Linked DNA regions of Rattus norvegicus. The protein of the gene in region 1 interacts with the protein of each later gene in a biochemical or structural test. Links are inferred from orthologs where the notes say so. Each region holds a gene or a part of one and is shown in the gene's direction. Other genes may lie near its edges.

Region 1 (7,968 bases):
CGGCTCTGCTTGAAGGGAGAGCTGTGGAGTGAGGGATGAAGAGGGGGCTGCATGGAGACCAAGCATGGTCCTCTGGATCTAGGTGTCCTGCGGGAGGTGACCACCGAATTTACTGTGGATGCAAGATCTCTGACAGCTACAGGTGGCAACCACGTGACAGCTCGTGTGCTCAACCCCTCGGGTGCTAAGACAGATACCTATGTGACAGACAACGGGGATGGCACCTACCGGGTGCAGTACACGGCCTACGAAGAGGGTAGGGAATTCGTGGGAGAGGGGATGGCTCACAGAATTCCCGGGTGGGCAGGGATGGGGGTTCTGCTCTCCTTGACTGACTCAGTGACTGGTTTCCAGGTGTGCATTTGGTGGAGGTGCTGTATGACGAAGTAGCCGTGCCCAAGAGCCCCTTCCGAGTGGGTGTGACGGAGGGCTGTGACCCCACCCGAGTCCGGGCCTTCGGACCAGGCCTAGAGGGTGGCTTGGTCAACAAGGCCAACCGCTTCACTGTGGAAACTAGGTATCCTTTTCTCTGCCTAGCTTTGACCTTGACTCAGCCTGCCCTCTTTTCTCCTCCCTGTCCCCCAATCCCTTCCATACCTCTCATTGGCTCTGGAACAGCTGACAGAAGTGTTCTTTTATAGGGGTGCTGGCACAGGAGGCCTTGGCCTAGCCATCGAGGGCCCCTCAGAAGCTAAGATGTCCTGCAAGGACAACAAAGATGGCAGTTGCACTGTGGAGTACGTCCCCTTCACTCCTGGGGACTATGATGTCAACATCACCTTTGGGGGACAACCCATCCCAGGTGGGCAAAAAGTGGGGGATGGGCTCTGGGAAGAGGGTGATGGGATGCTGAGGTCATGAGGAAAGGGATGTGGAGATTTGCAGAGGGTAAGAGGCAGGGCAGGAGGTGCTGTGGATGTGAGAACATTCCAGTTCATTCTCAGAGGCCCTTGCACCAGACTTTGCTCATACAGATCCACTGGCAGGATTTGCTGTCCAAAGCCCAACTGCTAGGGTATGTCATGTCTTCTGTTATTGTAGGAAGAGGTCTGCTAAAACAAGACACTGCTTCCTCTTATTTAATTCTGTGTCCTCTTCATATTTCAGCTACAATGTCAAAAGACATAAGCTGGTTTTTTTTTTTAATTCCATTGTTAACATTTTAAAGATTTAGGAGGGCTTTCTTCCCAGGCTGAGTCTAAGAAGGTGAGGTTTGCCCTGCCTCGTTCTGCAGTCAAATTCGCTTACTCTCTTTTTTTATTTCTCAGCAAGTTCCAAACTGCTTCTCATGTTGCTCTGTCTCAGTGGGCCTCTCAGCAGCAGGGAGGTTGCCTGCTCCACAGATCCTCAGTGCGGGAAGACAAACTGTGCCAGGGAGTGGGGAGAGGCTGACCTCCACCATCTCTGTTCTCACTCTCCCAGGAAGCCCATTCCGAGTTCCTGTGAAGGATGTTGTGGACCCTGGGAAGGTGAAGTGTTCAGGGCCAGGGCTAGGGACTGGCGTCAGGGCTCGGGTACCTCAGACCTTCACAGTGGACTGCAGTCAAGCTGGCCGGGCCCCTCTACAGGTGGCAGTGCTGGGACCCACAGGTATGGAATGTCTGGAGTGAAAGAGGGGAGGGAGGGGAGGTTCCAGGAGGCCCTGTTGACACTCCTCTGCCTCTGCCCAGGTGTGGCTGAGCCTGTGGAGGTGCGTGACAATGGCGACGGTACCCACACTGTCCACTACACGCCTGCCACTGACGGACCCTATACAGTAGCTGTCAAGTATGCTGACCAGGAGGTGCCACGCAGGTGAGGGCCAGCCTTGACCAATCCATGCTGAGCTAGAGCTTCTCCTAGGGCCTAACCTTCAAGGCCAGGACTTGGGCAGAGTCCCCCCCCCCCTTATTTGTCTAAACCTCCTTCAGGGACTACCCCATCCTACCCCACTCCAAGGTTCCCTACCCAGAAGGTAATATCACCCCACTAGCTTCAGCACCAGATAAGCATCAAGGAAAAGAGCCACAGAAAGTGTGCAGACTCTTTAAACAATTAACAGCATCTTCCTTTGGAGAAAACACTATCTATGTTCCATGGGTCCTTCAGTGACCCTTCTCCAAGATTCAAGATGTCCTGGGAAGCAGGCCTTCAGGGCTGCCCTGCAGAGTCACTCCTTCTGCCCATGTGGGAAGGCTCACATATCTCAAGCTCCAACTCCCTGACAACTGTCCGCTCCTTCTGTTTCTCAAGCCCTTTCAAGATCAAAGTGCTTCCGGCCCACGATGCCAGCAAAGTGCGGGCCAGTGGCCCTGGCCTCAATGCCTCCGGCATCCCCGCCAGCCTGCCCGTGGAGTTCACCATTGATGCTCGTGATGCTGGTGAGGGGCTTCTCACAGTCCAGATCCTGGTAAGTCTAGGCACAGCCCCCTGCCCAGCATATATGCCCTCTGTGGACATAGGTAGGCCTGACCTCTCCTTCTCCTCTAGGATCCCGAGGGTAAACCCAAGAAGGCCAACATCCGAGACAATGGGGATGGCACATACACCGTGTCCTACCTGCCAGACATGAGTGGTCGGTACACCATCACCATCAAGTATGGCGGCGATGAGATCCCTTACTCACCCTTCCGTATCCACGCCCTGCCTACAGGGGATGCCAGCAAGTGCCTTGTTACAGGTGAGTACCAACTCTGAGTCCCTTCTCGTCAGCCCCTTAGAGTGCATTCAGTCTCCCAGCCCAGTCCTGGGGCCATGCTGGCAAAAAGTCTATACTCTTTGCCCAGCCCAGCTCCCACCACCTCTAGGTCATCTTGAACCTTAATGACCTAACTTTCTTCTCTATTTCCAGTATCCATTGGAGGCCATGGACTGGGTGAGTAACTTTTTCTTTCTTTACTAAGGGCTGGAGGCTGTGGGAGCAGCCGGGAAAGGGGGAGCTGGACATGGCCTCCACAGCCCCTGATCTGGCTTTTTCATGTGGTAGGTGCCTGCCTGGGTCCCAGAATCCAGATTGGAGAGGAGACTGTGATTACAGTGGATGCCAAGGCAGCAGGCAAGGGGAAGGTGACCTGCACAGTATCCACACCTGACGGGGCAGAGCTCGATGTGGATGTAGTTGAGAACCACGATGGTACCTTTGATATCTACTACACAGCACCTGAGCCGGGCAAATATGTCATCACCATCCGCTTTGGGGGTGAACACATTCCCAACAGCCCCTTCCATGTGCTGGTAAGCTCATGGCCATGGTGCATGTTATGCAGAATATGCCTCTTAGTAGCTGCAAGGGATCCTAGGAGCTGTCCTCAAGGAATCAGAGAATATACCTCTTAGTCGCTGCAAGGGATCCTAGGAGCTGTCCTCAAGGACTCAGAATATGCCTCTCAGTAGCTGCAAGGGATCCTAGGAGCTGTCCTCAAGGAGTCAGAGAACTTGTCCCCATGTCTGATAAACAGATCCTGGAGCCAGAGTACTCTAGAATGAGCCTTTGTATTTCCTGTAGCCTTCCAATGTGCAGGGAGGTGGTGCAGCTCTGCTTTTGACCAGAGAGGTATCATCCCTCTCTGAAGGAGCTCACTGTGTTCTTTTCTGACCTTTGGGCCACTGTCCTTAGCTCTTGTTTCTACAGGGGTGGCCCTGCAGGACAAGGATAGAACACCTGAGATACCCACCCAGGACTTGAGTCCTAGGCCATTCTGAGAGTTGGTTCTGAGATCTAGGTCCCCCCACATTGTACACCCTGTGCCTTATTCCCCAGGCATGTGACCCGCTGCCTCATGTGGAGGAGCCTGCGGAAGTGCTGCAGCTGCACCAGCCATATGCCCCACTTCGGCCTGGCACCTGCCCCACACACTGGGTACTAGAGCTTCCCACGACAGGCCTCGTCATCCTTCTCCCTACTTTCTTCATTCTTCCTTCTGTTCTGCAGGCTTGGGCCATGGTTGGGCCTCTTGGGGAATGCAGGCATTAGGATGGGCAGAGGGAGCCCAAATCTGAGTATGGCACCCCTTCTCCTGCAGCTGACGCATCTTCTGCCATTGGTGTCTCACTATTAACCTTGTTCTTTCTTCGTTCTCTCTGACTTCAGTCTTGAGGCAGGCCACACTCCCCGGCGTTCTCCACCGACTACAGCCTTCTCTTTCCTCTCACCTGCTACAGGCCACAGAGGAGCCCGTGGTTCCTGTGGAGCCTTTGGAGTCCATGCTGAGGCCTTTCAACTTGGTCATCCCATTCACTGTGCAGAAAGGGGAGCTGACAGGTAATGGGTGCACCACACGTGAGACTCTGTTGAGAACTGAGAACGCTTCCTGGCCTTTCAGCTAAGATCATTGCAGGGATGAGACCTAGGGCCCAGAGAGGGGAAACAAATTAGGTTGCGTCTCACAAGTTGGGCAGAATGAGAACTCAAGTTCAAGCCTTCTGTCTCCTAGTCCTTCTATTCCTGAATGGGCTGCTTCCCAGTGTCTGGCCTCTGGGGAAAGCAGAGCCACTTGAGAACAGGCCCTGGGACATCAGGGACATGTGTTGGGAGAAACTAGTGTCCTACCTACATGTAAGTATGTCTGCCTTTCAGGGGAGGTCCGGATGCCCTCTGGTAAAACAGCACGTCCCAACATCACTGACAACAAGGACGGTACCATCACAGTGAGATACGCACCTACAGAGAAAGGCCTGCACCAGATGGGAATCAAGTACGATGGCAACCATATCCCTGGTGAGTTGGGAGCAGGGTGAGACCACGGTAAGAGGAGCCAACACCATGTTGGTCCTGCCAGCCTCCTTTAAATACATATGTAAGCACTGCCATGTACAGGCACCAAAGAAGGTTCTGGGAAATGTGTTTCTTGATGGTAATGGGCTTCTAAGTCCATGTAGCAGAGGCACGGGGCTCCAAAATCCAAAGCTGTTGAAGATGCTGGGGGCCAACATGGCTGTGGGAAGCCCCTGTCCCTATGCTAATCCAGCTCCACCTGTCACTACCCAGGGAGCCCTCTGCAGTTCTATGTGGATGCCATCAACAGCGGGCATGTCAGTGCCTATGGGCCAGGTCTGAGCCATGGCATGGTCAACAAGCCTGCCACCTTCACAATTGTCACCAAAGACGCTGGGGAAGGTGAGGAGAACTGCCGAAAGAGGTGAGGGGACTTGCCAGGTTTGTAGGCACAGGGATAGATTCTGATCTCAGCCACTTTCGCTTACAGGGGGGCTGTCACTGGCTGTGGAGGGCCCATCCAAGGCGGAGATCACCTGCAAGGACAACAAAGATGGCACCTGTACCGTGTCCTACCTACCCACAGCACCTGGAGACTACAGCATCATTGTGCGCTTTGACGACAAGCATATCCCAGGGAGCCCCTTCACGGCCAAGATCACAGGTGAGACGGACATTCAGGCATGGGCACCCTGCCCCACACACACTCAAGTCAGCTCACCCAGGACATTTGGACAGAGGCTGCTGAGGGGAGGAGAACATCTGGAGTAAATGTAAGGATGCTGTTCTCCACAACAGGCAAGGAACATCCCACCAGTCCATGCTTTGAAAAACGTGATCATCTATGTCAGCTCAAGGCCAGCCTAGTCTACACAGAGAGCTCTAGGTCAGCCAAGCCTACATAGAAAGACCATGTCTCCAAATACCAAAAACAACAAACAAACAACAAAAAAGAAAAAATATTTTATTATTTCAGTTTTCAAGTTACTCTTGAAATATTGACACTGTTTTGAGAAAACCCAGAGACAAATTAGCACTGTGATCAGAGCCATAGAGAGAGCATCTGGTCCATGTGACTCAGGACCAAATACATAAAGGTTCAAGGACAGACTTAGCCTCCCCAGGACTGAGACAGGCACAGTGCACAGGGATGCTGGGTCCCTCTGAGGCTGTTAGTAGTTAAGGTGAATGCAGACCAGGGATGCTAGAGTCTGTCTGGAGCCGACATCCTGATCTGTCCCAACTGTATCCCAGGTGACGACTCAATGAGAACGTCCCAGCTTAATGTGGGCACCTCCACCGATGTGTCACTGAAGATCACAGAGGGTGACCTCAGCCAGCTGACAGCCAGTATCCGTGCTCCTTCAGGCAATGAGGAGCCTTGCCTGCTGAAGCGCTTGCCCAACAGGCACATTGGTGAGTGCAGTGCCTCCTGGGTGTACCTGGGTCAGGGAGGCCTCGGGGATGTTCTGCTTACTGTCCCCTCTCCACAGGGATCTCCTTTACCCCCAAGGAGGTCGGTGAGCATGTGGTGAGCGTACGCAAGAGTGGCAAGCACGTCACCAACAGCCCCTTTAAGATTTTGGTTGGGCCTTCGGAGATCGGCGATGCCAGCAAAGTTCGAGTCTGGGGCAAGGGCCTTTCCGAGGGACAGACCTTCCAAGTGGCAGAGTTCATTGTGGACACTCGCAATGCAGGTACTTCTTGACACAGAACCCCCCATATCATTAGCACTCCACAAATTCTTGTCCCTTTCCTGCCCATAACCTCCCCCTCTGGCCACACCCTCCTGCCCTGAGCTTCTTGGATCTGTTGGGATTCAGTCTAGAGCCCACTGGGGGGAAGCGAATGTCCCCCGTCAGTCAGCTCTGTCACAGCTGAGAGAAAGCTCAGCTGTCCTGAGCTTGTTAGTCTCCACTCACTAGAATCCAAGAGGTCCAAGGTATGGAATTTTCCCGAAGGCCTCTTTAGTAAGCCTTGATGACAAACACTGGATCACCTCTCCACATCTCATGGTGCCATTTTCCTTAGCGGTCCCTACACTCATTTGACGTCTGTCCTAGGCAGAGCCTTCTGCACGGGACAGGAGAGCAGTGTGGGTGCAGGTATCATGGGCTCAGGGGAGACATCTTTCTCACATCCCTTAGGCTACGGAGGCCTGGGGCTGAGCATCGAAGGTCCTAGCAAGGTGGACATTAACTGTGAGGATATGGAAGACGGTACCTGCAAAGTCACCTACTGTCCAACTGAACCTGGCACCTACATCATCAACATTAAGTTTGCTGACAAACACGTGCCTGGTGAGGCTCTGGGCGGGGACTCAGTAGGGGACAAATCCGGTGACCAGGCAGGTGACCTGTGAACCTGAGTCTTTTTTCTCTCTCACTCACAGGAAGTCCCTTCACCGTGAAGGTGACTGGCGAGGGACGCATGAAGGAGAGCATCACCCGGCGCAGACAGGCGCCTTCCATCGCCACCATTGGTAGCACCTGTGACCTCAACCTCAAGATCCCAGGTAGATGCTGCAAAGGCAGAGAGGAGCCAGGGTGGAGCAGGGGTGGCCATGGGATGCCCTTGCCGCCTTGAGCCTACCCTGGGGCCTCTGTCCTGCTGCCTCCCTCCTCACTCCCACCACGGGGCTTTCTATAGGAAACTGGTTTCAGATGGTGTCCGCCCAGGAGCGCCTGACTCGCACCTTCACGCGTAGCAGTCACACGTACACCCGCACGGAGCGGACAGAGATCAGCAAGACTCGGGGTGGGGAGACCAAGCGTGAAGTCCGGGTGGAGGAGTCCACCCAGGTCGGCGGAGACCCTTTCCCTGCTGTTTTCGGCGATTTTCTCGGCCGGGAACGCCTGGGCTCCTTTGGAAGCATCACCCGACAGCAGGAAGGTAAGCAGAGAGCACTGGGAATCCGGGCCCTCATAGGGAGGCTGGGGCCTCCTGTTCTGTGAGATAGAATGGCCTCATCCCTGGCCACCTTGGCCTAGATGGCCAGGACAGGTCTGAGCAGAGAATGGGGTTCACCGAGGAGGGAGGAGACCACGGAGAACAGATACAGCCTCTTGTTGGCCTGACATCACTCCAACCCCTCAGGTGAGGCCAGCTCTCAGGACATGACAGCCCAGGTGACCAGTCCATCTGGCAAGACAGAAGCCGCAGAGATCGTTGAGGGAGAAGACAGCGCATACAGTGTGCGCTTTGTGCCCCAGGAGATGGGCCCCCACACAGTCGCTGTCAAGTACCGGGGCCAACATGTGCCTGGAAGCCCTTTT
Region 2 (7,968 bases), on another chromosome or scaffold:
CGTTCAGGCCACCTCTCGGAAGTTTGAGGAAGGCTCCTTTACCAACAGCTCAGATCTGGAGCCAGGACCCCAGCTGTCAGGGGGTGACGTCCGAGCTACCAGACAGCTGTTTGAGACCAAGTCACTGGATGCACTGACAGGCCAGGAAGAGGCAACACAGATGACCATGAAGGAACCTGCAGTCTCTGGAGATGTACAGGGAACCAGAAAACTCTTTGAGACTAAGCCCCTCGACATGCTGGGCTCCTGCCCCTCTATCCAGGACCAGAGCCCTTTAGAGCTGCGCTCAGAGATTCAGGAGCTGAAGGGTGATGTGAAGAAGACGGTGAAGCTGTTTCAGACGGAGCCTCTATGTGCCATCCAGGATGCAGAGGGCGCCATCCATGAAGTCAAGGCTGCCTGTCGGGAGGAGATCCAGAGCAATGCAGTGAGGTCAGCTCGCTGGCTCTTTGAGACCCGACCTCTGGACGCCTTCAACCAGGACCCCAGCCAGGTGAGGGTGATTCGGGGGATCTCCCTCGAGGAGGGAGCCCTGCCCGACGTCAGTGCAACTCGCTGGATCTTCGAGACGCAGCCTCTGGATGCCATTCGTGAGATCTTGGTGGACGAGAAGGACTTCCAGCCATCTCCAGATCTCATCCCTCCTGGTCCAGACGTTCAGCATCAGCGACATCTGTTTGAGACCTGCGCCCTGGACACTCTGAAGGGAGAAAGAGAAACCGAGGCAGAGGCTCCAGCCAAGGAGGAGGTGATTCCTGGTGACGTCCGCTCTACACTCTGGCTGTTTGAAACAAAACCCCTGGATGCTTTCAGAGACCAGGTCCAAGTGGGTCACCTGCAACGGGTGGATCACCAGAAGGGTGAGGGGCCTGTGATAGAGTGTCTGTCCAGTAACGGCACTTCAGCGCTGCCTCTGTCTCAGGGTGTCCCCCAGAACAATGGGCCGAAAGGGGATGTGAAAACCTTCAAGAATCTTTTTGAGACCCTTCCCTTAGACAGCATTGGGCAGGGTGAGCCTTCAGCCTGTGGAAACATAAACAGAGGACAAAGGACTGATTCTACTGGGCTGTCCGAGGGCGCCGATGCCCCCGTATATGCTATGCAGGACAGCAGAGGACAGCTTCATGCCCTGACTTCTGTCAGCAGAGAGCAGGTAGTTGGAGGTGATGTACAAGGCTACAAGTGGATGTTTGAGACACAGCCCCTGGACCGGCTGGGCAGAAGCCCCAGTACCGTGGATGTGGTGCGAGGCATCACCCGGCAAGAAGTGGTGGCTGGGGATGTAGGCACCACTCGGTGGCTCTTTGAGACGCAACCACTGGAGATGATCCACCAACAAGAGCAGCAGAAGCGAGAGGAGGAGGAGGGGAGGGGTCCAGGAGGCCCCCCTCCTGAGCTCCCCCAGAAGGGCGATGTACAAACCATCCGCTGGCTATTTGAGACCTACCCTATGAGCGAGTTGGCAGAGAAGCAGGAATCTGAGGTCACAGGCCCTGTGAGCAAGGCAGAGGCACAGTCATGCACCTGGATGTTTGGGTCCCAATCTCTGAACCAGGCAGAGGGCTCTGGGGAGCAGCACTTGCAAACCAGCCAGGTCCAGGCTGGAGACAGACAGACAGACAGCCATGTCTTTGAGACTGAATCTCTGTCAGCCCAGGGCCAGTCCAGTGGGAGAAAGCCTGTAAGGTACTGCAGCCGAGTGGAGATTCCTTCCGGGCAGGTATCTCGGCAGAAAGAAGTTTTCCAAGCCCTGGAAGCAGGCAAGAGGGGGGTACAGGAGACTGTTTTAAGCCCCGGATCCATCCCCACAGGCTCCGTGCATAAATTCACCTGGCTCTTTGAAAACTGCCCCATGGGCTCCCTGGCAGCAGAGAGTGTCAGTGGGGGCAACCTCCAGGAAGAACAGCCCAAAGTCTCTGCAGACCCTGGGACCCCAGAGAGGCAGGAGACAGCAGCCGAGAGAACCCTTCGGACTTTGCATGCCACCCCTGGCATCCTGCACCACGGAGGGATCCTCATGGAAGCCCGAGGGCCAGGGGAGCTCTGCCTTGCCAAGTATGTGCTCCCAAGCCCAGGGCAGGGGCGCCCCTGTGTACAGAAGGAGGAGCTGGTGTGCGGTGAGCTCCCCAGGATCGTCCGTCAAGTGCTGGGCCGGACAGATGTGGACCAGCAGGGACTGCTGGTTCAGGAGGACACAGCTGGCCAACTCCGACTCCACCCACTCAAACTGCCAGGGCCTGGTGACCCTGAGAATATTGAAGACATGGACCCGGAGCTCCAGCAGCTGCTGGCCTGTGGCCTGGGAGTCTCTATGGCAAAGACGGGGCTGGTGATGCAAGAAACAGGACAGGGCCTAGTGGCATTGACTGCCTACTCCCTCCAGCCCCAGCCAACCAGCAGGGGCCCTGAAAGAAGCAGTGTGCAGCTGCTGGCCAGCTGCATAGACAAAGGAGAACTGCACAGCCTTCCCAGTTTGCGGTGGGAGCCGCCAACAGACTCAAGTTCAGTACCAGTTACTGAGGAGACCCAGAGGCTTCCCCCAACTGAGAGCATCATACGCGTCACCCCATTAGACTCCACCATGAAGATGGGGCATCTGAGAGTCTCAGGATCCACACCCTGCCCACCTCTACCTCGGGCAGCTGGAAAAGTGGTCCTTCCAAATGGGAGACCGGGAGCACCATTGCAGGAAGCAAGGAAGCAAGTGGATATCAGCCATGCTGGGCAGAAAGGGAAGGCAGCCTCAGGAAGACCAGAAGGAACCATTGCTCCTCCTTTAGGGTCTGGGGCTCCAAATCTCCAGGAGGCCATGCAAAATCTGCGTTTGGCAACTGCTGAGGCCCAAAGCCTGCACCAGCAGGTTCTGAGCAGGCATGCACAGGGCTCTGACCCTGCAGCCACCTCCATATCTGCTCAAGATGTTCTGCAAGTGCCGACTCCTACCACTACCCAAGGTAGCATCATGCCTGTGGCTGGAAGGGACGCCAGGATCACAGCGGTCCCCAGAAAGGTCAGTGGAGACAACAAAGCAGTCCCCAGAGGGCTGCCTAGGGGGCGGGTGACCATACAGGATGGTATCTATGCTGCTCACCCTGTGAGAACCTCTGACCTACCTGGGGCCATCCAGCCTTCTGAAAAAGAACCCCAGCCAAGGGACAGCCCACCCCAGGCAGACCAAGGTCAGAGTCCCAGGCCAGAATATCACGAGCCTGGGGGTCACTCACAAAGGGCTTGGGGACCTCTGGGGAAAGTGATGCCACAAATCTGGCCTGAGTGCCTCCAGGCAGCAGACACCTCCCTGAAGACTGTCCCTCTAACTCACCACACTCTGACACCTAAACCCCAGGCTGCAGGTGACAGCCTGCACTCCCATAATGCCTCTCCTCCTACTCTCCCAGCTGCTGTGACAGAAGAACCAGACCACCCAGCTCAAGGCCACCACCAGAAGGACTCCGTCCAGCAGGCCTCCAAGCCCCTGCGGGAACCCCTTCTTCACAGTCACAACAGACCTGCTGGCCAGAAAACCCTTGAAGGGTCAGAGACAAAGCTCTCTAAAGCGGAATCCACTGTGCTTCCAAGAAAGAAACCCCCAGTGCCTCCGAAACCTGCCCATCTAAGCCAAGTCCACCCACCTCATAGGCTGCCCAAGCCCTTAGCAGCCTCTGCCAGCATCTCAGAAGCAGGACAAGACCATAAGCCAGGTGAGCCAGGTGTAGCCAACCCTGGGTCGGCCAAAGCTCCCACAATAGCAGGTCAGGGCTGCCTGCCCCTGGCTGAGTGCTCCAAGGGGCAGAAACAGCCTATGCGCCAGTATCCACTCAGCACCACAGCTTCCAGACCTAGCGGGGGCCAAACAAGCAACAGCAACAGCCAGAGCCCTGAGTCTCGCAAGTTGACCATTCTCAACAATGACAATGACGTCAGCCCACCACAAAAGCACCCTAGCTCCCCAAAACAGCAGCCTATGGATGGTTCCAAGCAGAGGACCCCTGAGAGCCCAGAGATTGTTCAGGGCAGCCATCAAGAGCTCCAGGGCCTCCTGAGCCAAGTGCAAACCCTGGAGAAGGAAGCAGCCCACACCGTGAATGTGCAGACCCTGCGGAAGCTCTTTGAGGGTGCACCCCAGCTGGCAGGGGGTACCCGTCAGGTTCCCACAGCTCCTCACAAGACTGAGGTCTCAGTGGAGCAGGCCTTTGGGGAGCTAACTCGGGTGAGTTCAAAGGTTGCCCAGCTGAAAGAACAGACCCTAGCCAGGCTGCTGGACATCGAAGAAACAGTGCACAAGGCTCTGAGCTCCATATTTAGCTTCCAGTCCGAGGGTCACACAAGCAGCCCTCCACAGGGAAGTGCAAAGGATCTCGGTGTGAAAAAGGTCTCCACCAGTAACAGAGCCAGACCGATGGGCTCCAACCAGGTCAAAGAGCCACCTGCAGTCGAAAACCAAGAAAAGGTTGAGAGCCGTCCTGAGGCGCAAGGTCAAGATGAGATTAGAAATCATGCAGAGGCCAGAGGTCAGGCAGCAGTGAATGTCCTGCCCTCCAGGAGGCTGGAGACGGCAAGAGCCGAGCCTGGCCTCCAACAAGTCTCACCTTCCTGCAGGGGATCCTCCTCTCCAACTTTCATCTCTATCCAATCAGCTGCAAAGACGCTTCTAGATGCTTCCAGCCCTCAGGGAAGCCATTCTATCTCAGGGAAAAATACACACCTAGCTCAGGACATAAGCCAAGCCCTGCTCTACCAGAGAGATATCCAGGATCAGGCTGGGACAAAGGAGATGGCCATCAAGGGCTCTGTGCCCACAGGGCAGCAAGAGAATGTTCTGGAATTCCAGACTGGGTCTGCTACCTCCAAGTCCTATGGAGCCACGAAAACAGTGACTGAACAGTATGAGGAGATGGACCAATTTGGGAATACAGTCCTCACTTCCTCCACCACCATCACCCAGCAGGCAGAGCCTCTGATGGACCCCAGGCCCCAACTCGGGCTCTACACTTTTCCCATGCTAAGGCAGTTCCTCCACAGTCCCTCCAGGTTCAACAGCGACCTGGCTGGTGCCGAGATACCATGGGTTCCCTGTAGCCACTTCCATCCGGCTGCCCAGTGAGCCCCTCTGTCTCCCCCCAGTCTTGGGTTCCTCCCCCAGAGCTCTAGGACTGAGTCACGGGCCTACCTCCAGGACATGTGGAACAATGACCAAGAAAAACGGGGCCTTCGGAGAGCTGATGAGGGCTGTTTGCCTTGTTCGTTCCAATTCTTGGGAAGGGACAAGAAAAGTAAAGCAGCCATCCACAGGAAAGCTGGATGGGTAGGACAGGACCTGACAGGTGGTTGTGGAGATCTAGCCCACACTAGCCCAGCTCACATTCGCACATTCGAGTCTGCATCTTATTGCCTAGAGCTGGATAGACACCCCTCCACTGTGTCCCTCTATGGCCAGCCTTTCTCTTAGGTTATGGAATGTGGCTACCTCAATCCCTGGTGAGGACCCGGGGCTGAGCAGACTGGACATGACATTGGTCTCTATTTGAGATTGGACTGAAGGTTCCAGAAAAACCTGGGTGCTGCCTCTTCATCACCAGTGGTCCAAAGGGCACTGAGAGAACGCTAGCAGCCAATAGTGTTCCTAGCAGCCGAATACACCACCCTTCCTGATCCCATCACCCCCCCACTCTGCACCCCCAATGGGAAAAATGACCCAAAAATAAACCCAAAAGAGATTCTCTGCTCTGTGTGTCAGACTGTGTATGTGCTGCCCCAGAGTCTGCATTCACAGGGAGGACAGTCATGGTCACCAGGTGCCTCTGCCAACAGTAACAATACAGATGCTGAAGATCCATTCAGCATTCTCCAACAGTGTACATCAGAAAACAGAAAGGCCCGGCCCACTGCCCTGCTCTCTATTATCTACACGCTCATATACACATATGACACATACACATGCACACCACAGCAGCACACACGCCATGTACCACTCTCACGCATGTACACACGCGCAGGTGTGTACCACGGGCATCAACACGACACAGACCTACATGCTGCTGCCCCCTTATCTTTACCTCCCTCCTGATGTTCTTAGATGTCATTCCAGGGGAAGTTCTTAAAATCCTGGCCCAGAATGGGAAAACAACCCCATACAGCCAGGGAGAGAGGTGGGAGCACTAGAGGAAGTCCCACCAGAATTCCCATGCCCAGAGTGGCTCAGATACTTCTTGTTCACAGTGGGTACCATGTGCCAAGCAGGAGGTGTTCTTAGGAAGGGAGCGATCAGATCCTGGTTGGAAACTGCAAAGATTTTAGTGAAAACCGTTCTCCCTCTCTCAAAAACCACCAAACATTCTAAGCCAGGTCCATTGTAGGTCACAGGGATGACAGCAAGATCCGGTGGGCTGCTGTGTCAGGAGACTGACTTAACATGAGGAGGAGGAGAGACAAGAAAGATGACATCAGAAGGAGGGTGAGTGCCTAACTTTCCACTCGGAAGACACAAGTCATGAGTCATGGCAGTGTGACCATGACAGAGTAGCCTCAGAGAAGTAGCAAGGGTGGAGCTCCTTAAGGAAGAACCACCTGACAACTGAATGTCAAGAGAACAGGACTCAGGGCAAGCAGTGTGTTCACATAATTTTGGAGGAGGAGTCAGGAGGAAGTTCAAGGTCATTGTTAGCAACTAGTAAGTTTGGGGTCAGCCTGGGCTGCATTAGACTGTCTCATAAGAAAGGGTGTGGGAGCCGGGACACAGCCTAAAAAACCAAAAGTGTGGGAGTGTGTATGCATACACTCAAGTGGTGCCTTGTTCACCTGACACGCACAAGCTCCCAGTAAATCAATCCTCAGTAGCACAAAAGATCAAATACTTGGCCCAGGTAACCGAGTGATCCCTCACCTTCTCTCTCCCCCCACATTCCACAGGCTCTTGCTTGGTCACTGGTCCCAGCACCTTAGCACAGGAGTGTACTCTTCAATGTCCTTGTTTGTCAATGGGTGTGATTGTGGCAACAACCCTGTGAAGACTGTGAATTGATAGGTGTTAATAAGCCTTTGGCTGGCATTCATTCTTAGTACTGCAATTTAGGGGAGAGCTTTGTTTTCTGAAATTCGAGACACGGACTTGAAACAGTAGGTAGATCAAACTAGTCCTGAATTTGTAATAATTCTCCTGCACCCCAACCCCCATCTGTACTGAGGATTACAAGTGTGTACCACACGGCTCAGCAGCCTTGTTTTTTGTTTTATTCGGTTTTGAGGGTCTCGTATCAAACTGGCCTCAAAATTATTCTGTGGCTGAAGATGATCTTGAGCCCCTGGTGCTCTGATCTTGCCTATTCCTCTCCAGACTTGTGTCCACAGCCTTCTGGAATATTTTTAACATCTCCTTTCCCACCTGCAGGGGGAGTGTGCCCGGTGTTGTTCATCTTGGTTACTAGTCAAACGAGCATACACATGAACGAAACGATTGAGTCAATCTGTGGATTCACGCTACTGGCATTCAATAGCGCTTCGTGCCAGGATCTGTTCAGGGTGCTAAAAATAGAGATGAACAAGGCAGAATTCATTCTTGACCTCACGGGGCTGACAGAGACAAATATACAAGCAGATTAGGTCATTTTACACAGAAAACCGTGTGTGAAAAACAAGGTCAATCGGCAAGGGCAAGCCGAGTTTGGGTGGTCTGGGAGGCCTCGCTGCAGAGCAATCGGAGCAGAAGGGGCGGTGAGCGCAGCGGCAGAGCGGCGGAGGCAGAAGCCCCGCCCAGCCTCGCCCCGCCCCGCTCACACCTGCAGCCGCACCTGCCTGCGCACCTGCCCAGGCCCCGCCCTTCTCCACACGCGCGGAGCGCGCGACGCCCAGACCCCGCCCCCAGAGCTGACAGGGCGTGTTCCCACGGCCGTCGTCAAGGTGACGGTGACGTCGCGGGCTGTAGAGTTCGAAACGTTCAGGCGGTGGCTGGTTGCCAGGAAACGCCCGGCA

Evidence for each region. The genes of interacting proteins can lie anywhere in the genome.
Region 2: the proteins of Flnc (region 1) and Xirp1 form a complex in vitro, tested with the Homo sapiens proteins (2 studies listed by BioGRID and IntAct, with this or other methods). The link is inferred for Rattus norvegicus from reciprocal best matches to the Homo sapiens genes FLNC and XIRP1.

The regions. Positions count from the first base shown.
Region 1 is NC_086022.1:59,014,726-59,022,693, forward strand, and holds part of Flnc (filamin-C), read left to right. Parts: intron 1-82; coding exon 83-256; intron 257-354; coding exon 355-517; intron 518-641; coding exon 642-802; intron 803-1,422; coding exon 1,423-1,590; intron 1,591-1,670; coding exon 1,671-1,794; intron 1,795-2,232; coding exon 2,233-2,389; intron 2,390-2,469; coding exon 2,470-2,659; intron 2,660-2,830; coding exon 2,831-2,854; intron 2,855-2,965; coding exon 2,966-3,213; intron 3,214-3,739; coding exon 3,740-3,838; intron 3,839-4,140; coding exon 4,141-4,240; intron 4,241-4,555; coding exon 4,556-4,696; intron 4,697-4,966; coding exon 4,967-5,095; intron 5,096-5,183; coding exon 5,184-5,357; intron 5,358-5,947; coding exon 5,948-6,109; intron 6,110-6,186; coding exon 6,187-6,390; intron 6,391-6,840; coding exon 6,841-6,993; intron 6,994-7,085; coding exon 7,086-7,208; intron 7,209-7,342; coding exon 7,343-7,585; intron 7,586-7,789; coding exon 7,790-7,968.
Region 2 is NC_086026.1:128,622,865-128,630,832, reverse strand, and holds the end of Xirp1 (xin actin-binding repeat-containing protein 1), read left to right. Parts: coding exon 1-5,104; 3' UTR 5,105-5,722; downstream 5,723-7,968. UniProt on the Homo sapiens protein: Protects actin filaments from depolymerization. Required for correct cardiac intercalated disk ultrastructure via maintenance of cell-cell adhesion stability, and as a result maintains cardiac organ morphology, conductance and heart beat rhythm.